7 linked regions of the Xenopus tropicalis genome follow. The protein of the gene in region 1 purifies or fractionates together with the protein of each later gene. This does not show direct contact. Links are inferred from orthologs where the notes say so. Each region holds a gene or a part of one and is shown on either strand. Other genes may lie near its edges. The genes, in order: rc3h1, serbp1, cnot9, cnot2, cnot7, cnot10 and cnot11.

Region 1 (3,500 bases):
TGTAGAATACAATGGGAATCTATGCTACTTATCTGTTATCTGCTTAGTAACCTGTGCCTTTTCTCCTTTTTTCAATTTAAATGTCTGCCCCCATGGCTACACAGCAGGGTATTTATATAAGCTGTAGTAGTGTTTATGAAGAAAACACACAACTTTTACTAGTGCAGAGCAATAGTATATAAAATATTAATTATTTTTATACACTTTCATTTTTTTGGTGTTACTGTTCCTTTAAGTTTGGAACTGCATTATTTCCTCTGACCCTGAACCATTGCAAATCTAGCACAAGTGAGAAGTCCAACCAAATTTCTCACAGAACAATTCTCACAGAACAATTTAGCACTTCCAAAGGTCAAGCAAGATTACTATATTACATTCAAATAATATACTGAATTTAATAAACTTCTATCCCTCAATAGCAAAATCACTCAGTTTTCATATCCTCAAGAAAAACTGCTTCTTCCTACCTATGCCCACCTTCTTCAAGAACAGTCTTCTGATTCTGAAGCCTCCAAGCTTCTCGTCATCTCCACTCACAACTTGTTCCCTCAACTCCGTGCCCTCTTTTGCTTAAACAATGTGCTGCAGCTCCTTTGCATATATTCAGCTCTTCCCCAGCTATCGGAATTTACTCTTGCTCATCTCAAGTATATCTTACAAAAGGCCACTATTGACCCATTTTGTCTGTCCAACTACTATTGCATATCTTTTCTGTTAAAGCTATGAAATCTGGCTTTCAACGTGTCCACTCTGATCCTCAAAGACCACCTTTCTATCCTCAAGGCTAAACTTAAAGACTAAATCTTGAAGCGTTGTTGTTGTTTTGTTGTAGTCGTATGGATATATACTAATTCTTTTGTAAAACTAGTTACACCCTCATCATATGGGTAATGGTAAGATATCACAAAGATTGAGTATGCAGAATGGGGGGCCCTTATGACAGATGATGAAGAGTAAAAAGGAACAAAGCTAAGTTGAACTTGGCCACACAAAACCACAGCGTTTCACTTATATGAATACTGCATGTTTTTGTACAAAAAAATTAAAATGTGCGGATGAAGTACTTAGTAATGGCAATATTTATTTTAAATATTTTAGAACCCTAAAATAATCTCACAGTGTTGCACATTTACTTTAGCTATTACATTACCATATATTATTTGTTGACCTTGAGCACTCTTTCCATTTGCTTGTGTTCTCATACATACTCAGTTAAGAGGAAGATGGATATTATACTTACCCTATGATATGATGGCCTTATCTGTCCTGGATGTGTATAATAACCTTCAATTCCCTGATATCTCTCTCTGGATTCAGGAACATAGGGAGAGATAGCAGCAGGAGGCATTTCTAGAGGCACCGGACTTGCACGAACTATTTCCTCCCTTTGGTAAGGTGGAGCATTAGAGGGATAAACACGACGGTTGTCATAATGTGGCTGGTACTGGGTGGGTACAATTGTCTGGTACTGCTGAGTGGGAGTGCCATACTGTGTGCTGACAACTCTGTCCTGTAAGTAGGGAGTATAGTGGTCGAGGTAGGTGGCGGCTGGTTCAGTGGCAGCAGGAGGAGGTCTGACAAAGCGTGAAACACACTGGGAGGACTGAGGTGGGTAATAAACACCTAAAAGTGAATTTGATTAACGTGAGAACTTACATAGTTGTTTCTTAAAAAAATCATGTACATTAAAGGCCATTAATATTTACATTTTTTCTTATGACTACACAAATTAGGCTAAAGTCTCCTGGTGTGATGCTATTTGTAGCATTGCCAAGCAATTTGCATGCATGTGCCATGTGTCCTGCAGAATGTAAACCACTGGAAAGTGTGTTAGACATCACAACGGACAGAATAGCTGAGTTCACTGCAAATACCCACATCTTAATATCTTAACATCTTAGCTTGTGTGTCAAAGATACATGACGGGTAATACAAGCTGGATTACATTGTGAAAAGGCTGCCTCTAGTTTCTCAAGCCGCTGTCTGAAGAAAAGCTTGCACACAGGACTACCCACATCAAATGATCTACATTAAATCTGCAGCAACTTCCAACTACATGCAGTGACAAATTTATATTCATCAACACTTAATAAAATGAATATTTAATGAATTAAACATCACTTACCTTGTGCATAGGGAGCTGCATCAAATGGAGGTCCACCACCCCGACATTCTTGGTAAAACGTATCTGCTGGAGGAGGGGCATATATTTGTGAACCACGTGGCACCATTTGGATTGGCTTGGAAACCGGCAATGGTGGCATATCACTGGATACACGCGAAGCAGCAGGATGAGCATTGACAGGCAAAGCAGACATAGATGCCTTGGGGACAGAATCCAGCCTAGCCAAAAATTGAAATATAAAAAAGTAAAAAAAAATATTTTCTAGAAGCTTAGAAACTGCTGTGAAGCCTCATGGCAAAAACTCATCTAACTACAATTGTAGTTAAACCAAATACATAGCCAAAACCATAACACGGGTCTCCAAGCTGACTCCCAGAGTTGGACTGGCTCCCACTGAGAAACCCTGCTTAAAATGTTACTGCCAAATCAGAAGCAATACACATTTTTCTATGCTGTTTTTAAAGGACAAGAAAACCCTCAGCATGAGTCTTAGGCATGTGTTAGGATGCAATAGAAGGAGCGCATACACACTTACCAATTTTCTCCCCTCCCATCATATCCTGTTTCATCAAGTGCTCCCCAAAACTTAGTGCACGTGCATTTAATAAGTCTGGAAACCTTTGCATGTGCATAAACACAGAGCTTTTGTATACTACAAAGAAACATACATCAAGTAAACATTAAAGTACATGTGCAGATCAAATATGCTGGGGTTTTCTTTGGCCTTTAAGCTACAAAATTAAAAATACAAGCTATCTACCAAATAAATAGTCTCTTCCATCATCTAAATAAAAATACATTTTTGGAGAAAGTTGACACCTAACCTAGCAAAATTAAAAGACCAAAAAAATAAATTTATTAAAAAAAAACACCCTGAGATTCTTACAGTTCTGGAGGAGATCCAGGTGCACTGCTGCTCAATTGATCCAATTTTACTTGTTTCAGCACTGACTCAAAGCCAGAGTCTGTACTCCTTGAGATGAGCTGTGTCCCCGGAACAATGCCGTTGGGAAGCCCACTTGGCTTTCGGGGTGGCAAGTCCATAGGACCTTCATCAGGTGCTCCTATCGGTAGTCCAACCTCATTCAACTGACCAAGCGAAGCACTGAGTGGCCGTCTTGGAACCAAACGTTTGTTCATTTTCCGAAACCTAAAGTAAACACGAGCAGGAAAATGTCTAAAGCAATAAGTTAAGTTTTACTGTGAGATGCCACGCGTTGGTACTGCCCAGTCATACAACCAAGAATGGATACTAGACCCTAAACTGTGCCTTTTAAATATCCTGGTTGACTATGATATGAATATGCAAGGCTTTTGAAAACTGTAGGCAAGCAACAATATATTGGTAAAGCTCATCTCTGACTACCAGGGAACA
Region 2 (4,248 bases), about 14 Mb from region 1:
GAAGATGGCTTGAGCACATGAACACCAGCATGAGAACATGTGATGCCATATGTATATGGGTGGGGGGAATTAAAATGAGTTTTCATACAACTAAGAAAAGGTAAGCTCATACAGAATTATAGTTGTCATGACCTTGAACTATTGGATTACCATTTAACTATACATATCTGCTACAAAGTGCCCAGACCTGGGAAGGGCCACACTGACACAATTAACATATCTACATAATTAGCACGATACCCTTTTAATAATTAGATTTTGGAAAAGACTTCACTTTATGAAAATGATTAATGTATACAAATCACATTTGTTGTCTGTTTGTGTAACTGCAAGTATTTATACTACGTTTCATACATAGCAAACAAAGTAGTTTACTATATTGTCCATTTAAAACTTTTTTTTTTAAAGGGGCAGTAAAACTCTAGTTCAGTACAAGCACTATTCATTAAATTCATATTGCACATATGTTGTACATGTTGCATTTATAATGAAAAATCTATGGTTTTTGTTCTTAAGCTAAACAGGGAAACCGAGGCTACTGTATGTTTGGACCTTGCGAGATAGATAATTAGATTAAAGTAAATAACCCTCTTCCCTTTATCCTCAGTTGAGATTTTCATTAACAATAACCCATTACACATGGAGCTTATAAGGGCACTGTTAATTAATATTCTACCTCACAAGGACCAAAGATGGAGTAACTTCAATTTCCCAGTTCAGCTCAAGAAATAAAAATAACAGATTTATGGCGATTAAAACAATAGGCAAAAAGTATGTTCACCACAAGCCCTTTAAACCTGGTGTCCCCAAATGTTAACTACAACTTCCAGCATGCTTATATCTGTGACTATTAGGTTAGTTTTAAATGCTGGAAGTTGTTGCCCAGCAACATAAAAGGTAGGAAGGCTTATATATTTAGTCATATATATTTAGTTCTCGTAAGATGCTAAAACATTTAAACGTTTTGGAATATTCCTAACAGCTCTCCTATATTAAGAAATATACTGTGAAACTTAGTGAGAAATAAGAAGGTAGATGTAACAAACAGAATACACTGCACAAACAGATGATCTAACTGTTACACCAGAACACTAAAAGACAGCAATGATGTGTGGTGAAATTGGCCACACATTAAGGGCTGATGGGGTGGTTTCTCCACAGCCTTATTTCAGCTAGCTAAAAAGTGCCCCAAACAACACCTGCTGCCCCCATTCCCTTATAGGAAAAACACCTGGTCAATGTAAAGAATCGGGGGCTGTTTCAGGCGCTACTCTACTACTGAAATACACCCAGTATAGAAAAGGGCTTTACACTTAATAAAACTTGGGTAAATTATGGAAATGTTTAGAAAAATGACATTGCCCTGAACATTGCAAGAGCAGAGCTTCACATTATTAGTTTTTAGGTCAAGTGCTTGAACATTTCCCATCAGTCTGTTGACATTAGTATTAAAATAAAAGCTAAGATGCCTTCCAAAACGCTTTAGGGTTAGGAGTCTGATACGGCGTGTTTTTTATGGCACAAAGTACTTTTATAACACGTCTTTAGCGGCTGTGATTGACACTAGTAATACCTGGACTAGTTGCTGTAGCTCTCATGAACCACATGGAAAACTGATATTTTATCTAGGGCCCCCCCATAGTAAAATCTGGCGTATGCACATTAAAGAGCACAAGCCAACCCAAACCAATGTTGCAAACTTTTATTCTTTGTAGTTGTACTGGGAAGAAAAAGGCAACAACCCTCCAGTAATAGTAGGGCTCAGAGTGGTGAGGCCTGCAGGAAGCGCCCAACCCATAGCAGTACACACACATTTCAGTGATAGGCCCACGTGTTTGGTAAGTATGGCTAGGGCCTAGTGTTGTGACAACCGCCCCCCTCCCCCCTCACACCACGTGCTCCCTAGCGCTCTCCCGCCACAAGCCTGGGCTAAGGGAAGCAGCTCCATGTGCGAGGCCCTAACGGTAACACTTCAGTGACAGCTCTGCTTGACCTTGGAGGGCAATTCGATTCTTAACGCTCCCCTCCCCCCCCTCCCGTCTAATGTGCCATGAGCCCGTCTGACAAAAAGAAGTTAACAATACGGCGATAACCGAGGTGCAAGCGCCTGGTTCAGCCAACTGCCGCTATAAACGCGTAATTTACAGTTCGACAGGAAAAGTATACACTGCGAATGTGTGCTATATGGCACCTTTCGAGTTCAACTCTTAACTCGTAGAACCTGGGGTAGTACTTTATAGGCTATAAGTGCATGCATGGAAATGAAATATAAAATAATTCGAAACTCAGTAGTGGAACGTCCCTGCGCTGAAGCTTACACAGCTCGCCACTTGTCGTTGGATTAAACTACCTAATCACCCCCGGGGCCTACTGTCACTCCCTCAGTGCTAGTCCTATGGCGCGTTACCTTCCTTCTTGATTGGTACAGGCGCCTGGCTCTTCTCCTCCTTTTCGGACAGAGGGTTCTTCCGGTCTTTCTGGGACTCCTTCTTGGGCTGTTTGGCGGCCTGAGCTGCCGTTTTGCCGGTCCCTTGACCCGGTCCCCCTGCGCCCTCCTTCTTCTTGTTCTCGGCCGCCTTCAACACCTCGAAGGGGTCAGATTCATCGTCAAATAGCTGGTCGAACCGATTGGTTACGACGCAGCCGAAGCCTTCCTGCAAGTGACCGGGCATGATGGCCCCTTAAGAGGTGGATGTTCCTCCGATTCTACGAGGCCTGGAGCCTAGAGCTCGCTTGCTAGTAAGCCAAAAGATGGCTGGGAAAGAGGCTGTCTTCTCTTCCGGCGCGATAGACATCCGGGACTTCTCCGGCTGCGGCATGATGGGACTTGTATGCCAACTGTCGTGCGTGTGCATGTTACATAGTGGCGCTAGGAACTACCATTCCCAGCATGCCATTCACCGGCATTGTGCGGGCCCCATCTATGTTTTCATGCGTGCTGCCTGTCAGTTGTAGATAGATAGAGACAAACAGACGAAGTGAGGGAGGTGCTTGGTTTGGGTAGCTGTAATTTACCGCCTCAGTATTCCGTATTAGAATAGTTTTTTTAAAAAAATAATTGCCCCCATAAGGAAACATGCTCCCTTAGTTGTATTGTTATGAAGCTGTAGCCAGGGGATTGTGGGAGTTGTAGTTCAATAATTTGGAAGCTAAATGCTGATGAAAATCTTCAGCATAGAGTTACAGAAATAGGCGTTTTCGCATATAGTAGCTAATGGGAATGAAAAATAAAGGTTTTAATTAAAAAAAAAAGGAGTCTCTGAATGAAACAATGTGTTGCCATATTTTTCTGTATGAATATTTTTTCCGTTAAAACAAAACCTCTACATTTTGTTTTGCAGACAATTAGTGCATCCCTATTATTAAGATGTATTTGTAAAGTGCTAACATTTTATGTAGTGCTGTACAACAGATGGGTGTATTTTACTGGTCTGGTCAGAAAAACTATGTTTACTGCCAACGTTATTATTAGGTTAAAGACAAAAATATAGGAAGGCCAGTTTTTTTTCCAGAAAAGTGGAAACCCTAGTATATATTTGTGTTGTTGCCTTCCTGGTATTTTACTGGCCTAGTTGGCAAAAAAAAGAACATTTCCTATAACGTCAACCCAAATCGCAGGACACTGGGGAAATATTGGGGGCATGGCTTGCTGGGGGACTGTGATAATGCCACTGTGCATACACAGAGGGTAGGTCTGCTCACATGAAAATTGGGCAGGAAAAGACAGCAGTGAGGCTGTGGAATGCTCTTCTGAGTGATATTGTAATGGCAGATTGGTTTGGATGATTTCTTGAACAAGCGTAATATCCAAGGCTATTGTGATACTAAAATCTACAATTAGTATTGATGTTGGTATATATGGTTTATGTATGTGAGTGTATAGATAGGTCAGTATAGGTTGTGTGTGCTGGGTTTACTTCGAAGGGTTGAACTTCATGGACTTTGGTCTTTTTTCAACCCTGTGCAACTATGTAACTATATAGTGCGCTTGTTGTTTGAGTACGCCCAGAATGTGAACTACAGTTACTTACTCCAGATTCTGCTATTCCTGAATAAAAACTAGGGACATCATTTTCTTAAGAAGGTGATTCCTGGTCCTCCCTTACTTCTTAATTTAGCATGTTGCTAAAATAGATGAATTGTCTATTTTTGGTGTCACCGCTGTTTCTTTTATCTTGGGCCCAAAGGCTTTCAGAGCTTGAAACACTGCCCTGACTTCCAACACATTTGACTGTGTGTTCTCTCAAG
Region 3 (2,418 bases), on another chromosome or scaffold:
TCGCTAATAGGTGCCCTTGTGAAAACGGACGAACAAGAAGTCATAAACTTCCTCCTTACCACAGAAATAATCCCATTGTGCCTACGTATTATGGAGTCTGGAAGTGAACTCTCCAAAACAGTACGTATTTTATTGATGTGCCTACTTTTGTTTGTGAGTCTAAAATTTCATTGAAGAGCAAGACCAACTTGAAGCACATTCTCTTTACACATGCACTGCAGTTCTCTCAGTACAGGGGGCATATAGACAGAAATGGCTTTAGGGTGCTTGTGGGCCGTTTCAGCTGTTTTCCCTGCAGTTTAGCATATTGATTGGTAGACAGAATTTACTAATCAGATCCAGGGATGGTGCCTGATTATTTTCCTTCTGTCGTATTTACTGGCTCACAGTGCACTTAGCAATGCTATAACATCCTGCCTATGATCACAAAATGTATTTGTCTTTTTTTTTTAGGTTGCCACTTTTATTCTTCAGAAGATTCTCCTAGATGATACGGGTTTGGCCTATATTTGCCAAACTTATGAGCGCTTCTCTCATGTTGCAATGATTTTGGTAAGAAGCCGTGCTTCGTGTTACACGTCCTATAACTGGGTTTGCCACCATGTGATTTTAATGTCTTTGAAACATATTATGGTACAGGTAGCTGTTAACAATCTTTTTCTTTTAATAGGGGAAAATGGTCCTACAGCTTTCAAAGGAGCCATCTGCAAGGTTGCTGAAACATGTAGTACGCTGTTACCTCCGCCTCTCAGACAATCCAAGGTACGGCTGAAAATAACCCGTGACTTCTTTTTCAGCTTGATAGTATAGGTTGCCATATTGCTTGTGAGTTTTATCTTCAATGCCCTGTTCTCAAGGTTTTCTTACTCCCTCCTTATAAGTAACCCTGTACAGCACCTTTATTTAATTAGTTGAGGGATCCCATCTTAAATGAGAATAGGGTTTTTATGTCCATAGCGGATAATAAAGCAGTACACCTTATTATTAGATAGCATATGTAACTACATACATTCACTAAACAACAGATTTATTCCATTGTTATTCACATTACATTAATCTTTGATTCCAGAGCGAGAGAGGCATTGAGGCAGTGTTTGCCCGACCAGCTAAAGGATACCACTTTTGCACAGGTACTTAAGGATGATACCACAACCAAGCGCTGGCTGGCTCAGCTTGTCAAGAACCTGCAAGAAGGTCAGGTCACTGACCCTAGAGGAATACCCCTGCCTCCCCAGTAATATCTGCACAGACGGCAAAATGTGAAGCTGCTTGTATAAGTTTGCAGAGCAAACAGCAGGAGGAGAAGAATATAATGGGAAAATTTAAAAGTTGGCACTAATTTTTCTTGCTTCCTGGTATAGTCCTGCTGCATGGCATCTAGAGGCAGCTGAACCACCTGACGTCTCAAGAAGGGTACAGATCTCAGCACCAGCAACAAAATAGGACTGCTCCATAAATTGGTTTGATGTGGAACAAGAGATGGCTGCTTTAGTATCTGGTATTCCGTGTTGCCGTAGTGCAGGATGGTATGATCTGTCTTTTGGTGTGGGCAGTGAGCTACGTTTACTGTTACAAAAAAAAAAAAAAAAGTACAGTCAACAGACTTTATCTGGAACAGTACAGTCTTCTAGCTCTAATGGCCAAGGCTAAATCGTTCCTCCACTGGTTGCCTTTTCTCCTCCTGTGCTTCAGCTTATTCCAAACACTAGGGCAAGTTCCGCTATTGAATACATGCTCTTTTTTTCATCTGATTTTTTGCGCAGCACAAGCTTTTCCTGCAGTACAGACTGTGAGCCCATCTGAGTAACCATTTCTGCAAGATTTTGACTGTAAGTCATAGAACAGCCTTGTTACTTCGAAGCATTTGTCCATTGACCCTTTAGGAACAAATTGTTTAATTAAAGCATTTCCTAATGCAGCAGTGGCTTTTACATTTCTTAATGTTTTTCATGACCTTTCCTCCTATCCATGAGAGCTGCAGGCGATGCCAGTAGGGCAGGCACTCGGGGGCGCTAGAAAACAGGAGCTCTATACAATGGGAGAGTAAAAAGGACACATTAGATCCCCACATCCTTAACTAGGTTGCATAATAAATAAGTGGGCATCTCAAACTGTGTCTCTTGACTCTGCCATGACAAAGAACAGCATTGCTTTCCAGTGCTGTGAAACTCCATATTCTTGGGCTCTGTACACCTATCAATTATATCCTTATAAATATATTGCGACTTAGTGATTTGGTGGCATTGTGCTTAAATGACAGCGGCAATGAACTGTTAATTAAAACATCCTCTCTGGCAAGTTATGGGGAAATGTAATGGGGCTGTATCTATTGTGAAATGCTATTCACAGTGGAATGGCTGTCTGTCAGGAATCTCACCCCAGCCTGCGGCAGATTATAATGGGATGTGGGGGCCAAGA
Region 4 (4,261 bases), on another chromosome or scaffold:
AGTAAAACAGGAATTCTGGTTATTTAATATAAGATATAGTATGCTCTTCCCTGCAAGGCTAAAAATGATTAATGAATGTTAATGGTATATTATGAGACTAAATAGACATTTACTTTTGGGAAAAATTGCTAGATTTTAAGGTAAACATAAATTAACGTGTTGTTCAAAAATATAAATATGGTGGAGGGGGTATGCATTTTTCTATATATAAGAAAATGTATTAAAGTGTACCTGTCACTGCCCCCCCCCCAGGAGGTGCGGGCTAATAGAGCCAGCACTCTGGTTGTGGGAAACAAGTTTTTAAAGAACAAAAAAAAAAAAGTGTCCCTGCCTGTGCTAGGCTAGCTCTACTGGGAGGGAGCCCCCAGTGCAGCCAAGCCTAGCACTGCAGGGGGCATTTTATAGAATGAATTGCAGTATGTAGAAGCTTTTCAACATTAGCCTTTAGGTCAGAAAGCAAAGAGCAGATATGCTGGATTCAGGTGGAGGACAAAGATGATATTAAGATTAAGCCTAACAATATTTAAAATATAAATCGTTCCGCAACCATGGCCCAAAGCATGAGCACTAGTAAGTTTCTCATTGATTTGCCATGGGAATACCCTAGTCATTGTTTGGTCCTGTGTTGTCTACACATTGGACAATGCAGTTCAACCAATGCTTTCTGTAAATCAGTATATTTTTAAAAAATGGCTGCATGGCAGTGCTGAAATTAATCTGATATTTATTCAAGATTAATATTCATCTTGGAGGCAGTACCAGTAGACCCTGCAAGTGAATACTTGCAATATTCAGTAGACCCTATGAAATTGTCAGATTCTGATACAACTTTATAATTCGGAATAATGACCTTTACTATGTAACTAAATAATAATTTTTTAGGCGATAAAGGGGAAAAAAAATCCTTACCTACAACGGGGGGATTTGTTAGTCTATATAAGTTAATTATTTGTCCAAATTCTTATTTAATTAATGCAACTATAAATGCATTAACCTAGTTTAAGGGACTTAAACTATCAGCTTATATTTTGGCAGGAGACCAGTTAAAAATGCCATATGATGCTCCTGCAGTTTAGACCTGCTAGATACATTAGATATGCAGTTACACATTATGGTCACAAGTATTCTATTGGAATTGGCGATTTAAGACACCCATTGTTGCTGCCACTGGCGCCTTTCCATCATACAATGACATTCTTTACAATATCATTCTTCCTGGCAACAATGTGGGGGAAGGCACTTGCCTGTTACAGCACTATAATGTCCCTATGTACAAAGCAAAGTCCATACCAAATTTGGTTGCTGGGATGGGAGTTAAAGAACTTGAACAGTCTGCACAGAATCCTGACCTTAACCCAAGTGAATATCTGTGGGATAAACCTAGAACCCAGACGCGAGGAGTAGAGAATTATGGTTTTAGAAGCAAAGAAAAGGACCAAATATATATTGTGTGATTAAACATTTCTTTATTCAGTGATTGGATAAGGTGGTTCATAACTCTGTTTCGGTTATTGTGAGTGTCGTGAAAGGTCCCTCAAGTACTAACACTAACCCACTAAGCAAAAATGGCACTTCCTAACCCATACAGAATAAGGCATTTTAGTAAGTATCAGAAGAGAAAGTCACTTAGTTCTGTGCACTTAAATATAACGGTAACACACTGTAACACTCGCATTGTTTGAAATATTCATCCAACCAAATGTGACTAAGAGCCTATACTCTTTCGACCTTTAATTAAACTCCCCCTGAAGTAGAATTTACTCTACAGGAGACAGTCAATATGAATATAAACACATAAAAGGATTCATTTCCAAAGGATGCAATTCCTCATAAGCCAAAAGAATCTTACTTTGTTGTCCATATAAACTGGCCCCAAACTGTGACAGCTGACCCGATGCGGATGGTGATGGAGATGCCAGCATCTAAATAACACGAAACATATATATATATATTTATATATCATTAGTGCAAATGAACACAATGAGAGAAGGCTCACAAAAATGTATACCCAACAATCTCTAAATCAGTCAAGATCTAGACTGACTATCTTTAAATTTCCACATAATTTTTCCAGCTACACAAAGTTACTGGGTTACCTTACTTCACCATATAAAAAGGTTCTTTATTTTGCTTCAGAAGTATGATAGTTTAACAACATAAGCACTCATGAATATGTTGAAATACAAGCATAGTACTTTTTTGCCAGAAAAAAAAAACACAGTGGTGTGAAACTGTTAAAAGCCAACTGTGCTTATTTACAATGCAAGCTGTCTTTTTAAATGTATTTATAAACCTTGTTTGTAACTATACATGAATTAACACCATACATCACAATTACAAAGAGCAAACCATGGTGTTTATAAAAGGTATTTTATTTTGTCAGACTACAGCTGAAATTTACAGCTCCTTTTATAATAGAATTTTAAAATCTGCTACACATAAATCTTTCTGCAGCTTTATAGACACATGGGATTTTACACTATGTTGTACTTTAGGACTGTTTACATATTGTTATATATCTGTGCCTTAAATTGTCCACCAAAGGTATTGCCACTCACAGGAACATGCACCCAAGTCCCCAACCTTTGCAGTTATAACTTACACACTAAACACAAGAATACTTCTATTTTGTGTGCTCTGAAAGTTATTTGCAGCATTTTGCTATGAAACTCAACTTACATCTTTCTCCGACCGATGTGGAAACATCGTAGACTGGCTATAATACATATTCTCATCATGGTAGTCACTTTCGACACCTTCTACAAACTTCTTTCTTGAAGCACCAAACATGCTGTATGTCACCTAAAAATTAAAAAGCAATAAGATTACACCAGTGAGACAGACGCTGTGATTTTCTCTAAAACTAAAACTGATGATACTTTATTTACTTTGTTTGAAAAGCCTAAAGAACACAAAATACGTTTAACCACTATTTCTGAGCAACCACATAAATCCCATCAGATAATTCAAGCTTAAATATAAAAATAAATACAAAAATAGCATTAAGTTAATACCAACGGATATACGGATGCTTTCACTGGACTGGAAAAAATGGAAAAGTATTTTATGTTCGACTGTCTCATCAGCAGACCAGATAGTATAAATACAACCACTGGGACTCATTTGGATCACTTATTCTGTGGAAAGAATATTCACTAACTAACTGTTCTATAAAAGTGTAGTTATAAGAAGAAAAAAAAAACATCAATAAGGCATATTTTTTAAGTCAGCATATAGAGTGCAAAAACTGGGGTGATCGCATTTGGTAAATTGCTAAAGGACACATGTGGTTCAGGGTAATAGCACTGATTTGGGACAGTTAATCAATACATTTTTGAGCATTTTTTTTTTTTGAGCCAAACTGGCTAGGCTAAAGTATTAGTAGGGGAAAAAGTTTTGTGTTCCTTAACCATTGGGTTAATTTTTCTGTTGGGGTGCGACCTCTAAAGCTGTAAAGGATAGCACCTAGGCAGAATGGGGTCTAATAAAGTAAGATTAGACAGGGTTAAATAAATTCACGTGAGAATGTAGCGAAGTATAGTGGTAAAAAAAGATACCACCAAGAGATTTAAACTACATGATATTTTGATATTTTATCTGACCCACAAAATATTGTCACACAACTGCAAGATTTTGTGGAATCCTACAAAATATGATCCCCTCTGATGTAATGCACGTCAGATTAAATAAAGTCGGATGGAATGTTTTGTTTATGCAGCCACATCCGACAGTCAATGTATTTTAATAATAAGAAAAGAGTCTTTCAGACCTTATTAGACTTAATCTTGCCAGACGCAATTGCAGCGGCCCCTTCTAATAAGCATGCCATGTGTGATGGCACAACTAACTAACTGTCTGCAAATAGCTTTTTGGGCAAATTGTGAGGGCTACAGTTAAAAGATCTTATTGAGCATTATGATATAACTGGTATTTCCACACACCCCCCCCCACAAACAATTATAACTATCGAATATGTGGGAAACCCTGTAGGAGAAAAGTAAAAAAGAGGACTGACTACCTAATTAATGGTCACAATGCCCAGGAAATTGAATAAAGCTGCAAAGTTTAATTAAATTGCACTTATAACTTAACACTGTACTATATACAGAATGCTGAACTATATGGACACATTATGTAACATTTACTACATAATTTACTTGCATTGCAACAGTTACATAGTTACATACGGTTGAAAAAAGACCCATCAAGAGTCCATCAAGTTCAACCCATCCAAGTAAACCCAGCACACACAACCCACACC
Region 5 (3,980 bases), on another chromosome or scaffold:
GGCCGACATTTTCTTACCAACTGAAGACACTTTGGGTCTCACCGCCGATACGAACCTGCTTGCGCATGAGTAGTTGTAGGTAGCAGGAAATCTGCTTCAACTGCGCATTCTCAAGCAGGTTAGGTGTCGGCTGTGAGACCCAAAGAGTCTTCAGTCGGTAAGATGTTGGCGAGGTACGCGGTTGCGCTTGTCTGCATTTTTAGCTAGCAGTCAGCAATAGGGACAGAGTGTAAACTTGAAAACAATGCGATATGGGAGAGGTGGGGGGGGGGTCTAGGCAAAGAGTGCCATCCGGAAGTAAAGTTCTCCTTTAAAAATATGTTAATCAAAGTCCCTGAAACAGCACCGTGTGCCACTATTCTAAGAGTTTTAGTTGCTACCTAGCCTACCCAATGGCAGGCACCTTACCAGACCATGGCCACCATACACCTTTAGCAGTTGAGCCCATGGATCTTTACTATCATAAAGCTGCTACAATTAGCTTAGAATAGAAAATACAGCATTTCTAGCCATATTCTTTTTTTTTAGGCTTTAGTTCTACTTAGAAATATCTTTAACAAATAAGTGCAGTAAGCAGCCTGACTTGTTTCTACACACTAGAAAAATTATAACTGCAATATAAACCGAACCCATTGTACTGGACAAAAAAAATATTAATATTTTAATGTAAACAAGTACTTATATTGCATATTAAAGTAAATTAATTATTCTATTATTGTTATGTCACACGAAACATTGGGCCATTAGAGTCTATAGTTGATATAATATTACCCTGACAGCGGAAGCAGTGTGGCAGATACTGCAAGCAAGGATTGCTTATAAACAGTAAATAGGTTCCCCTTTGAGGAGACTCAAAAATCTATAAAATCTTAAATATTCCTGAACTCTTAATGCCAATTTCAAAAATGAAAAACATTTTTGGAGGGGAAACAAACATCCTAAACATACCATTGCAACATAATTATACTTGCGTATAACTTGGCGGATTCTCTTCATTTGATCATCCAGGTTGCAAGCCCAGACTTCGCAAATTCGCTGGCTGAGGTCCACTGTTGCAGCTGGCATAGTGGGTCTGGGGGACTGACTCAGAGGCAGGCATCAAAATTTTGCAATTAGCTATTAAAGGGTTTCATAGGTGGTAGGCCGAGGCCGAAATCAGCTGCTAAATCTAAAATTAAAAGAAGAATAGTTTTTATTTTACTAACAAATAAAAAATAATATACCGGTATAATACTAGCAGGCAGAACATATCAGGAAATGCCAAGAAAGGGGAAAGGTGGCCCATGTGCATGCCACCACCTTTTGAACAATATGCACTTTGTGCAATACATTTTATATTAGGAATGGGGATCCTCTGACTATGGAGTGTGTTTGGTCCATGACATTACCCAAAAATTGATTTTTGTATTTTGCCCATATATGGTGATCCATTGTTAATATGAGTTAGGGGAAGTTGTGGTTGAAGCACAAAAGTGTATAAATAGAATATTTCTTCTCTCTACCCATGGTAATAGTTGTAAAGCCATCTTTTAAGTCAACACTGTGGCTTCTTTAGGGAGTAGCATAATTCTATTTTGCCTTAGTGCTCTATACAGCAAGGCCCAGCAATCTGAGCTTTCTGGCCCATCACTAAGCAGAGATAATGAACACAGCTGGTACTGTTAGGCTTCAACTGGGTAGTAATAATGTAGGCTAGCAGTATTATTACAACTCTTGGAAAGTGACCATACCAGAGTTCTATACATAAGAATCTCTAGGTGCCACCCTGGATGCAGACCATGTTTTATGCAGATCATGTGTTAAAGGGGCAGTATATGCCAATATACAACATTAGCAAAATAAATAGAACATATGCAAATAATACAGCATATCATTGAACATATCAACTGAAAAAATTGCATATTTCTTAGTGATAACATTATAATAAATCAGAAATGAAGCATTTGTTTTCTCCTATGCTTACTCTCTTACCATTAATTAGATGAGTTAGTTTATCTAGATATACTGAGCTCTGTATAAACAACCCTCATCCCATCACCCTTTGTTATGTCTAGTTTGGCTTACAGGTTGGCAGGATTTCCTTTGTGCACTGATAATGATCTGCCTCACAAAACATGCATGAGCTTCAGTTGACTGTTTAGCACAGAAAACATCAAAAACAATAAATGTTTCCTGATTAAAACAGACAAAAAGTATGATCAGCACAAGTTCTATTCATTGCAATCATAATGAACAAGGGGGTATACTGCCCCTTTAATAAAAGCCAGAAATGAATGGGGAGAAGCAGGTCTCCCTGAACTGTCTTGCGGGGTAGACAGGAAGATGTCCAGCTGCACTTGTTGCTGAAGCGTATCCTTTGGCTGATGAAGGATGCTGGGTAATGTAGTTTACGAGCTAGGGGTTCGCCACACAGCTGCCAATAAAAGCTGTTCAGGTGCAAGTATCCCTTCTGCGTCCCTTGTGATTGAACGAGCTGGAGGCTCCCCGACTGGATACTGGCCCATAGTCACGGTATGTGCGCTAAGCACCAATGCCTACTGATGCTTGTGACAGACAATACAGCCGCCTCTGGTTGTGCCCAGTGTGTGTGTGTGTGCCATCCCACTGCTCCGTATCCGTTCTGTAAGGCTCACAGCCCGACACTATCCCTGCCCTACCTAAGATAAGTCTGGCCGCTGCCGGTCTGTCACTTCACGACCGCGCTCCCAGGGCTCGCACAGGAGATTACCGAGGCCCCTACACGTCATGCGAGCGACGCGCCAGTCCCACGGCAGGTTCCTGCTAACCTCCTCCCGGACGCACTTGGATGACGTCAAGCCGCCACAAAGGCGTGGAAAACCATCCCCTTCTCAAGCTGGTAGGTGACATGATGTCACAGGCTGTGCGTCATACGGCGCGACCCATGGAGAGTGAAAGTAAGTGGCAACTGGGATTGTGCTTGATGGGATAAACACACAACTGTCTATCTAGTATGTGTGTGCAGGTATGTGACAACTGCGTGTATGGCTTCTCTCAGATATCATGGTGCGTAGGGAAGGTTACATACATGTTGTGTAGCACGGCAAGGGACAACTGGGGGTGTAAGAGGAAGTGACAGCCGACTGTATCTTGCGGTTTTATTTAATGTTATCTGAGTGAGGGTTGAAGGTTAATAAGGTACACTTAGAAATTGGGGGGGTGTTAATAAGGTACACTTATGAAGTGGGGGGGAATGTTAATAAGGTACACTTATGAAGTGGGGGGGAATGTTAATAAGGTACACTTATGAAGTGGGGGGGGAAGGTTAATAAGGTACACTTATGAAGTGGGGGGGAATGTTAATAAGGTACACTTATGAAGTGGGGGGGAATGTTAATAAGGTACACTTATGAAGTGGGGGGAATGTTAATAAGGTACACTTATGAAGTGGGGGGAATGTTAATAAGGTACACTTATGAAGTGGGGGGGAATGTTAATAAGGTACACTTATGAAGTAAGGGGAAGGTTAATAAGGTACACTTATGAAGTGGGGGGGGAAGGTTAATAAGGTACACTTATGAAGTGGGGGGGAAGGTTAATAAGGTACACTTATGAAGTGGGGGGGGAAGGTTAATAAGGTACACTTATGAAGTGGGGGGGGAATGTTAATAAGGTACACTTATGAAGTGGGGGGGGAATGTTAATAAGGTACACTTATGAAGTGGGGGGGAATGTTAATAAGGTACACTTATGAAGTGGGGGGGAATGTTAATAAGGTACACTTATGAAGTGGGGGGAATGTTAATAAGGTACACTTATGAAGTGGGGGGGAAGGTTAATAAGGTACACTTATGAAGTGGGGGGGAAGGTTAATAAGGTACACTTATGAAGTGGGGGGGGAAGGTTAATAAGGTACACTTATGAAGTGGGGGGAATGTTAATAAGGTACACTTATGAAGTGGGGGGGGAATGTTAATAAGGTACACTTATGAAGTGGGGGGGGAATGTTAATAAGGTACACT
Region 6 (3,500 bases), on another chromosome or scaffold:
GTATTTCAAGAGATTTTACTAACTATCAGCTATGAGGTTTAAACAAGGTTGGAACACACCTTTTAAGATACTTTAAGATCCTGTGATCAGCAGCACGTAGATCTAGATGGCTGTAAAGTAGAGCAACAGTGGGGGTTCAACCTGAAGATTAGTCAGGGTGAAATTTGGGGAGTTTCTTTTAACTCCTAGATACATTTGAAAGCCCAGCTTTGAGGTCATTTAGGGTAAGATTTTGTCATCCTACACATTTTTTGTAACCATGTCACACCAGTGTTTTCCGTATTTAATGAGGACTCTGTTATTGCACATTTGAATCCAAATAATGTCAAGATATTGCAGAGTTTCCCTTTTGTTCAGATGGATCCAACACAATGCAATTACCAAGGAAATATATGCAAGGTGAATCATGCTCACAAAATCGTGCACAGTACATACTACTTGTTGCATACTGTTTGAGATCCTGCAGCTGGATGCAGCTGCAAAGTAGGCAGTTAGCTATGCCTAAGGCATAGAGGCGGGGCAGGAAATACATGTCAATACATGTATACAATCGGCAGCTCAGATTTTTAATTACAATTAAGCACTTCCTAGATATTACTTAGATGCATAAAATGAAATGAAACATAACACCTAATTATAAGTAATGGCTGATAACGATAAAGTCAATACAAAAAGTCTTGAAAAAATAAATATATATATAAAACCAACCAACATGAAGAAAGCATACCATACCTTAGGTTTTCTACTTCTTGCCTCCTTAGGGGAGATGAAGGTGGAGCTGGAATGAATTTATCCCCTTCGTGGTTTTTATTGCTAAAAGAAAATCAAATAATTCTTTTAAAGATGAATGTGCTCAAAGGATATGAGCAGCTCTCACTCAATAACGAGCGAGATGATGATGATGCAGGATGGGATGCTAAAAAGTTCTTTATTTAAAGACGAGACAAGTTCATCCATGCGAATAGTGCCAACAATATTTATCATTTTAGAAAAATCATTTTAGCAGCGATTTAGACAGATAGTGGAAAACTAATAATAATAGGCCAAATTAAATGCTTTTGTTATATTAGATATCCTGCTTCTGTTTGCCTTTTACAAAAGCTGTAACAGAAACATCTCCAATAAAACAATTCTCAAGTTTAGTTTGGGATCAACATTAGAGTAAGGGCCGTGACACACAGGGAGATTAGTCACGCCGCGACAAATCGCTCAGTGCGTCTTCGCTCTCATTAAAGAAAACAGTTTAAGGTGGTAAATAAACAAAAACTATATCTAATCTTCAGTGTCTCCCATTCGGCCACCACCTCCACTCCTCAGCCTCTCTCAGTTGGGGTACCTCAAGGCTCTGTTCTTGAACCCCTTCTATTTTCAATCTACACCACTGGTTTGGGGTCAACTAATCAGCTCCTTTGGATTCCACTATCATTTATATGCAGACGATACCCAAATTTACCTCTCTTCCCTAGACCCGCCCTCGCTCCTTACTCGTGTCTCCGACTGTCTAACTGCAATTTCTGCATTCATGTCCTCTCGCCACCTAAAGATCAACGTGGACAAAACTGAGCTAGTCATTCTCCCTACCCTCCAACTCCGTTTCCCTGCCTGAAATCACTGCGTGGAAAATATTAATATAACCCCAGTTCCACAAGCTCGCTGTCTAGGAGTCACATTTGACTCTGCTCTCTCTTTCACTCCCCACATTCAAACACTCTCTAGATCCTGTCGGTTCCACCTCAAAAACATAGCATGCATTTGACCTTTCCTCACTGATGAGAGCCAAAATTCTCATCCACACCATTATCATATCTTGCTTAGACTACTGCAACTCACCGCTCTGTGGGCTACCCCTGTCTAAACTGACCCCACTCCAATCCATCATGAACAGTGCTGCCAGACTTGTACAGCTATCCTCCTGCTCCACAAGTGCCGCCCCTCTCTGCTAATCCTTGCACTGGCTACCTGTCATGTACAGGATTCAGTTCAAGATGCTTGTACTCACCTTCAAAGCACTCACTGGTGCCGCACCAGTCTACTTAACCACCCTAATCCCCAAGTACACCCCCAGACGTAACCTTCGCTCTACAAATGACCTCCTTCTCTCCTCCTCACACTCTTGAATTCAAGACTTCTCACTCGCTGCACCGATCCTCTGGAACACCATTCCCCGTCCCATTAGGCACTGCCAGACTCTCCAAGCTTTAAACGGTCTCACCTTTTCACTCAAGCCTATAACCTAAACCCCCCCAAACATTCACTAACCACTGGTTTTCACCTCTCACTCTGCACTTACTGTCACTTTACACACCTACATGAACTCTAACGTCATACTAGTTACCCTGACCTTATGTCACAGCCCTCCCTTTTAGAATGTAAGCTCTTGCGAGCAGGGCCCACCCCCTAGTGTCTCTGATCCTCATCCAATGTAACTGCAAACCATTTTTGTGAATTGTTTATATGTGCATGTTAACTATTCTGCCTTTTGTACCCCTCTATTCTGTAAAGCGCTGCGTAAATTGATGGCACTATATAGATAATAATAATAAAACATTACCGCTTTTAAGACTGATGGTTTGAATAAATGATCAGTTCCAGGTCGTAATCTCCAGGTCATTAGTAAATTTTAAGACACAGTTTATATTTCCCCACAATGACAAAAGACAAGCAAGGCAGAGAAACTGCCAGTATTACTTGTCTGCTTACCTGCACACATCACTGCTCTCCCCGCTAGAGTCTGTATTGCCTGTTTGACTACTAGCCTTGGAACCATTTTCTTGCTTTACTTCAAACTGGTCTTCTGGCAAAAGAAGCAATGCATTTCTCAGACATATTGCAGCAAACTCCATGCTAGCAACAGGAATAGCTGAAGACTCTCCATCACTGATAAATAAAAAGCACAAATCTATTTCAAAACAGATACACACTATACAAAATTAAGTGAAACAAATTTATCTGCATTTACTCATGGCTTATGTATGCTAATACAATAATAATGTTGTACAAAGTAGTCAATGGAGCTGAGTGGCAGATCTGTTGGGTCTCTTTGGAATACCACATACAGCATGTGTCAGACACACACAGTTCACCATGCAGAATAGGTTACTAGCAAATATCCCCTCTTTATACTATGGCTTACTTGTACAATTGGGCCTTATGGTGATTTAAATGGGAAATAAAGCCCTACATGAAATTCAGTGCACCATTTTGCTCCCCCCAACATTACCCGTTCTTCTTACAAGAAAAGGAACAGTAACACTAAGGGATGTGGCAGACGGGGAGACTAGTTGTCCGCGACAAATCTCCCTTGTCGCGGGTGACTAATCTCCCCGAAATACTATCCCACCGGCGAGTATGTAAATCACCGGTGGGATGGCATACGTGGGGCCATGATTTCCCCAAAATTGTGGAAGTTTGCTCTCAAGGCAACTTCCGCGATTTCGGGGAAATCACGGCACAACGTATGCCATCCCCCTGGCGATTTACATTTTTTCCCCGTGTGCCAC
Region 7 (4,049 bases), on another chromosome or scaffold:
CAAGGCCTGTGATGATAGCTAAACTCTCTTCTCAGGATAGTCATGTTAAGGGCAAAGATACAAGGCCAAGACTTTTAAAAACTCTGCAGCGGCGATTTAGCTGCCATAGATCAATATACGCGTTGTACGTCGTTTGCAGCACGGCAGCTAGTCGCCGCAACTTTTTAAAAAGTTGCAGTGACTAATCGCTCCATGTAACTTCAACCTAATGCCACATGGTGCTGATGCACCAGGAGCAGATTTTGTCCCTGAAACTTGCAAGTTTAAGTTTTCAAAACCGGAATCCACACTGTGTGACTGCACCCAGGTTGATGCAGTGGCTCCGGGTGCGGGCACAGGGCAGATGCCAGTATAGGGGCCGATTCTAAGGTCAAAAATCAGCCCCATGTGACATATAGGCTTAATGGATGTAGCAGATGTTTTGACCCCTGCTATTTAATGATGGCATGTTTATGACTACAACTTCCAGAAAGAAGTTATCACTCCAAAGACAAAGCAGAAATAAAAGATGAGTAACTAATTATATATTATTAGCCGAATTAATGCACAGCTCTCACATTGACATGGTATGGCCTGATAGCAGAAACCAGAGTGTAGGAAAGTCCCAAGCCAGTTTGTTACCCATATTCTGGATCAGGGATGCCCTCCATGTGGTGTATTCAGTCTTTCCACATGTACGTTTCCATATGCCAGTGATGTTAACTACACTCCTGACTATTATCTAACTTTAGTTATAAAACAGCCTATTGTTCATAGTAACTTTCTGACCAGTTTTCAGTTAATTGCCTTCCTTTTCTGCACCTTTCCAGTTTGCAGTTTAAAACCCTGTGTAAAGGTGCCCATACATGGGTCGATTTCAGCTGCCAATATAAGTCCTTTATCTGCAGGATATGGGCACCACCAAAGGGTCTTACAGACAGACATCTGGCACGAAATTGGGCAGATTTCAATCTGTCAGGTTTGATTTTTCCTTTGGATCGACTTTCCCGATACAACGGCGCTTATGTGGCCAACCGTTCGAATTACCCTGATATTGCCCAGTCATGGGTGGGCATATCGGGAGAAAATCGAGTGTCTTATAGCGTACGGCCACCTTAATACAGTAGAACCCCCAATTTACATCCCCGGATTTTAAGTTTTCCCGCTTTTTACACCGTTTTTTTTGTGGTCCCACCAATTTTAATGCATTCCTATGGGCTCTATTCCCGGATTTTACATATGAATTTCCCGCATTTTACACTGTTTTTATCATGCCTCTCCCTAGCAAATCGCTTAGTTTTAAGGTAAAAATACAGCTTACTTTAGGAATTAAAGTTTCCCCCATGTCTTGCGATCACAGACGCCATCTTAGGAAGGTCAGCGTCACCACTATCGCCAGTATTTCATACTGCGTATGCGTACCTATCCCGGAGCGTACAAAATACAGCGAGAGTTGCACAAGTATGGGGAACAGCTGTACAAGGTGCAGATTTTTAAAAGAATACAGATTTTTGTTTCAGTGCTGTACAGTATTCTTTTCCGCATCTTATTAATTTATAGTGATATTCAAACTTTTAGCAAACACATGCATTAAATGCAAAATGTTTTACAGTACTGTAAAAAGTTGTTTCAGTACTTCTGCTAAAACCTGTGAAATAACTCAGTAAAGGAACTGTGTTGCAAATAAAAAATTATTCCTGTACTTATTTCTTTTAAATCATTGACATTTATGTGTCCTTAACACATTTCCCTGATTTTACATTTTCCCCGATTTTACATCTTTTTTTCATGATCCCCTGAAAAACGTAAAATGGGGTTCTACTGTAGTTGATAGCCACTGACTTCAGCAAGGTCCTCTTTTATAAATCTACACTTGCTGACTGGTTGCTAGGCTAACCTGGACCATAGTAACCAGATTGCTGCTAAAATTTCAAGCTGAAGAGCTACAGAAAGTAAATTGGTCCACTAATTACAATATCACTGCATTTAGTCAACTACCTTTGTGAAGACGACTACACCGGGGTATATCAGACTTGCTGCCCTCCAGCTTTGGGTGAACCCCCACCACCTCTGGACAATGATTACCTGACAGGGGTCTCTCTACCTCCTCTACAGCAGAAGGGGGTGGGTTAAGCAGGTGAGCGAAGACAGCAGCGAAAGGATTTGCAGCCAGCGGCTCGGTGCGGTACATCTCCCACAGCAGGTAGAGGGCGGTGAGGCGCTGCGGGACACTGGGCAGTAGGTCGGGCTGCTGCAGGAGCATGACTAGCACGGAGCCCACACGGAAATGGTCTGCTTTGGAGAAGCAGTGATGGAAGGCGGCTGAGAGGCCCTCGAACGTGGTACTGCAGGCCTCCTCCGTCATGATGCCCAGCAGGTTGGACAGTTCTTTCCCACAGAGGCTCATGTTGGCGGGAATGCGGACAGCGTGTAAGTGTAACGCCGCTGCCTTCTGTGGCAGCCGAGACAGCCCGCGCCTTCTCCCGTGTTATTACATGTATGGCGGCCTACACAAGCAGCCTGCCTGTCACTGTTCTTTCAAACACGTGTCAATAAAGTTTTGTATTTCTCAGATCGGCGTGTGTATTATTTGGTTCTGTATGCGTCGCAGCCGTGAGATTGGATAGAAGATTTCTAAAATGGACCGGGATATGGACTCACACAGCAGGAAGTGACGAACTATGCACAAATCACGTGGGGATGAGCGTTCCGTTCATAGTTTTGGAATGTCAACAAAGCCGCAAGGGACTGCTATTGATAGTGGCTACATGGACTGTAACATTTCCACAGTAAAATAAACACAGCCAGGGTCTGTTATTGGTAAATGTTGGAGGTTTCTGGATAAGGGGTATTTCTGAACTGGTGGAAAATTGTTTGTCTAATAAAACATATTTGTTTTTGAGGTCAAAGTTTTCTGACTTAGAATAATAATGCTAATTAAAGGAGAAGAAAAGCACCCCCCAGTGATTGTAGCCTAACATTTTACCTTTTCTTCTTTAAGGGCAGTGGCACAAAGGGAGATTGGTCAACTGCATTAAATCTTCACTATTGTGAGTGACTAATCTCCCCAACTTGCCATCCCACTGGCAAGAATGTAAATCACCTGTGGGATGGTATATGAGCTGCTTCAGTTTTCCAAAGTCGCCCGCAAGTTTGCTTGCAAGGCAATTTCAGCCGAGTGAAGTGATGCGTATACCATCCCACCGGCGATTTACATTCTTGCCAGTGGGATGGCATGTCAGGGAGAGTAGTCGCCTGCAATAGTGAGGAATATAAACAGGATACTACTGGAAGCAACTTTGCTTTGTTTATCCCAAAAGGAATAATGCAATGTACCAATGGCAACAAATCCTAACCCAAATGGGTAAGGTTAAAGCAATACTATAAAAAATACACTGGGTTTTCTGTATTCACTTTATTTAGACTTGACCTTAAAATTATTTTTGGCTGGTCAGCCTACTAATTCAAATACTGATTATTACATACAATTACTAATAATGCTATTACTTACCCCAACTATGTAGCCAATTATAAATAATATATGATGCTGGTCTTATCCCAGCTATGTAGTCAATAATAAATAATATATGATGCTGGTTTTATTCTGGGATAAAAATGATCAAACTTGAAAATTACCCTTTATTGGAGTTCACTAAAGATGTGCTATTGTCCCAGTTTGTGATTCAAAGGAGGGGTGGTCTGTGTTTTGTATTGAAGAGTTGACCTTAAGTCATGAATTGTATGTGATAATAAGTATTTTTAATTAGTAGGCTGGCCAGCCACAAATAAATCTAAGGTGAAAAAAATTGATTACAGCCTATTTATTTTTTTATAGTATGACATTGCTTTGTTACAGAGCATTTTGGGTAATGGGTTCCAGCATAATATATCTCATATATCTCATACCTATACACAAAAATACTTGAAGGGGCACAGGGGCTACTGCAGTCCCGGGCCCCAAGCATGATTTCTGTTTGCATAGGGGAGGGGAAAGTGGGAGTTTAGGTGAGTTGTGTGTGGTTTGACAAAATGGTCTATGACCAGGGAGGAGATAAGAGTCATGGCTGTGC

What was found.
Region 2: the proteins of rc3h1 (region 1) and serbp1 purify together in Homo sapiens (affinity purification with mass spectrometry, with the first as the bait; 3 studies listed by BioGRID). This does not show direct contact. The link is inferred for Xenopus tropicalis from reciprocal best matches to the Homo sapiens genes RC3H1 and SERBP1.
Region 3: the proteins of rc3h1 (region 1) and cnot9 purify together in Homo sapiens (affinity purification with mass spectrometry, with the first as the bait; 4 studies listed by BioGRID). This does not show direct contact. The link is inferred for Xenopus tropicalis from reciprocal best matches to the Homo sapiens genes RC3H1 and CNOT9.
Region 4: the proteins of rc3h1 (region 1) and cnot2 purify together in Homo sapiens (affinity purification with mass spectrometry, with the first as the bait; 3 studies listed by BioGRID). This does not show direct contact. The link is inferred for Xenopus tropicalis from reciprocal best matches to the Homo sapiens genes RC3H1 and CNOT2.
Region 5: the proteins of rc3h1 (region 1) and cnot7 purify together in Homo sapiens (affinity purification with mass spectrometry; 5 studies listed by BioGRID, with this or other methods). This does not show direct contact. The link is inferred for Xenopus tropicalis from reciprocal best matches to the Homo sapiens genes RC3H1 and CNOT7.
Region 6: the proteins of rc3h1 (region 1) and cnot10 purify together in Homo sapiens (affinity purification with mass spectrometry, with the first as the bait; 3 studies listed by BioGRID). This does not show direct contact. The link is inferred for Xenopus tropicalis from reciprocal best matches to the Homo sapiens genes RC3H1 and CNOT10.
Region 7: the proteins of rc3h1 (region 1) and cnot11 purify together in Homo sapiens (affinity purification with mass spectrometry, with the first as the bait; 4 studies listed by BioGRID). This does not show direct contact. The link is inferred for Xenopus tropicalis from reciprocal best matches to the Homo sapiens genes RC3H1 and CNOT11.

Annotation. Positions count from the first base shown.
Region 1 is NC_030680.2:98,036,385-98,039,884, reverse strand, and holds part of rc3h1 (roquin-1), read right to left. Parts: intron 3,276-3,500; coding exon 3,012-3,275; intron 2,344-3,011; coding exon 2,126-2,343; intron 1,624-2,125; coding exon 1,241-1,623; intron 1-1,240. UniProt on the Homo sapiens protein: Post-transcriptional repressor of mRNAs containing a conserved stem loop motif, called constitutive decay element (CDE), which is often located in the 3'-UTR, as in HMGXB3, ICOS, IER3, NFKBID, NFKBIZ, PPP1R10, TNF, TNFRSF4 and in many more mRNAs.
Region 2 is NC_030680.2:83,566,754-83,571,001, reverse strand, and holds the start of serbp1 (plasminogen activator inhibitor 1 RNA-binding protein), read right to left. Parts: upstream 2,801-4,248; 5' UTR 2,673-2,800; coding exon 2,408-2,672; intron 1-2,407. UniProt on the Homo sapiens protein: Ribosome-binding protein that promotes ribosome hibernation, a process during which ribosomes are stabilized in an inactive state and preserved from proteasomal degradation.
Region 3 is NC_030685.2:82,345,818-82,348,235, forward strand, and holds the end of cnot9 (CCR4-NOT transcription complex subunit 9), read left to right. Parts: intron 1-10; coding exon 11-120; intron 121-453; coding exon 454-552; intron 553-670; coding exon 671-762; intron 763-1,069; coding exon 1,070-1,238; 3' UTR 1,239-1,918; downstream 1,919-2,418. UniProt on the Homo sapiens protein: Component of the CCR4-NOT complex which is one of the major cellular mRNA deadenylases and is linked to various cellular processes including bulk mRNA degradation, miRNA-mediated repression, translational repression during translational initiation and general transcription regulation.
Region 4 is NC_030679.2:59,329,356-59,333,616, reverse strand, and holds the start of cnot2 (CCR4-NOT transcription complex subunit 2), read right to left. Parts: upstream 2,801-4,261; 5' UTR 2,791-2,800; coding exon 2,680-2,790; intron 1,923-2,679; coding exon 1,850-1,922; intron 1-1,849. UniProt on the Homo sapiens protein: Component of the CCR4-NOT complex which is one of the major cellular mRNA deadenylases and is linked to various cellular processes including bulk mRNA degradation, miRNA-mediated repression, translational repression during translational initiation and general transcription regulation.
Region 5 is NC_030677.2:42,300,004-42,303,983, forward strand, and holds the start of cnot7 (CCR4-NOT transcription complex subunit 7), read right to left. Parts: upstream 2,801-3,980; 5' UTR 2,658-2,800; intron 2,651-2,657; exon of another isoform or gene 1,972-2,650; intron 1,169-1,971; 5' UTR 1,066-1,168; coding exon 949-1,065; intron 1-948. UniProt on the Homo sapiens protein: Has 3'-5' poly(A) exoribonuclease activity for synthetic poly(A) RNA substrate. Its function seems to be partially redundant with that of CNOT8.
Region 6 is NC_030682.2:50,224,724-50,228,223, reverse strand, and holds part of cnot10 (CCR4-NOT transcription complex subunit 10), read right to left. Parts: intron 2,878-3,500; coding exon 2,701-2,877; intron 814-2,700; coding exon 733-813; intron 1-732. UniProt on the Homo sapiens protein: Component of the CCR4-NOT complex which is one of the major cellular mRNA deadenylases and is linked to various cellular processes including bulk mRNA degradation, miRNA-mediated repression, translational repression during translational initiation and general transcription regulation.
Region 7 is NC_030678.2:110,377,181-110,381,229, reverse strand, and holds the start of cnot11 (CCR4-NOT transcription complex subunit 11), read right to left. Parts: upstream 2,801-4,049; 5' UTR 2,387-2,800; coding exon 1,978-2,386; intron 1-1,977. UniProt on the Homo sapiens protein: Component of the CCR4-NOT complex which is one of the major cellular mRNA deadenylases and is linked to various cellular processes including bulk mRNA degradation, miRNA-mediated repression, translational repression during translational initiation and general transcription regulation.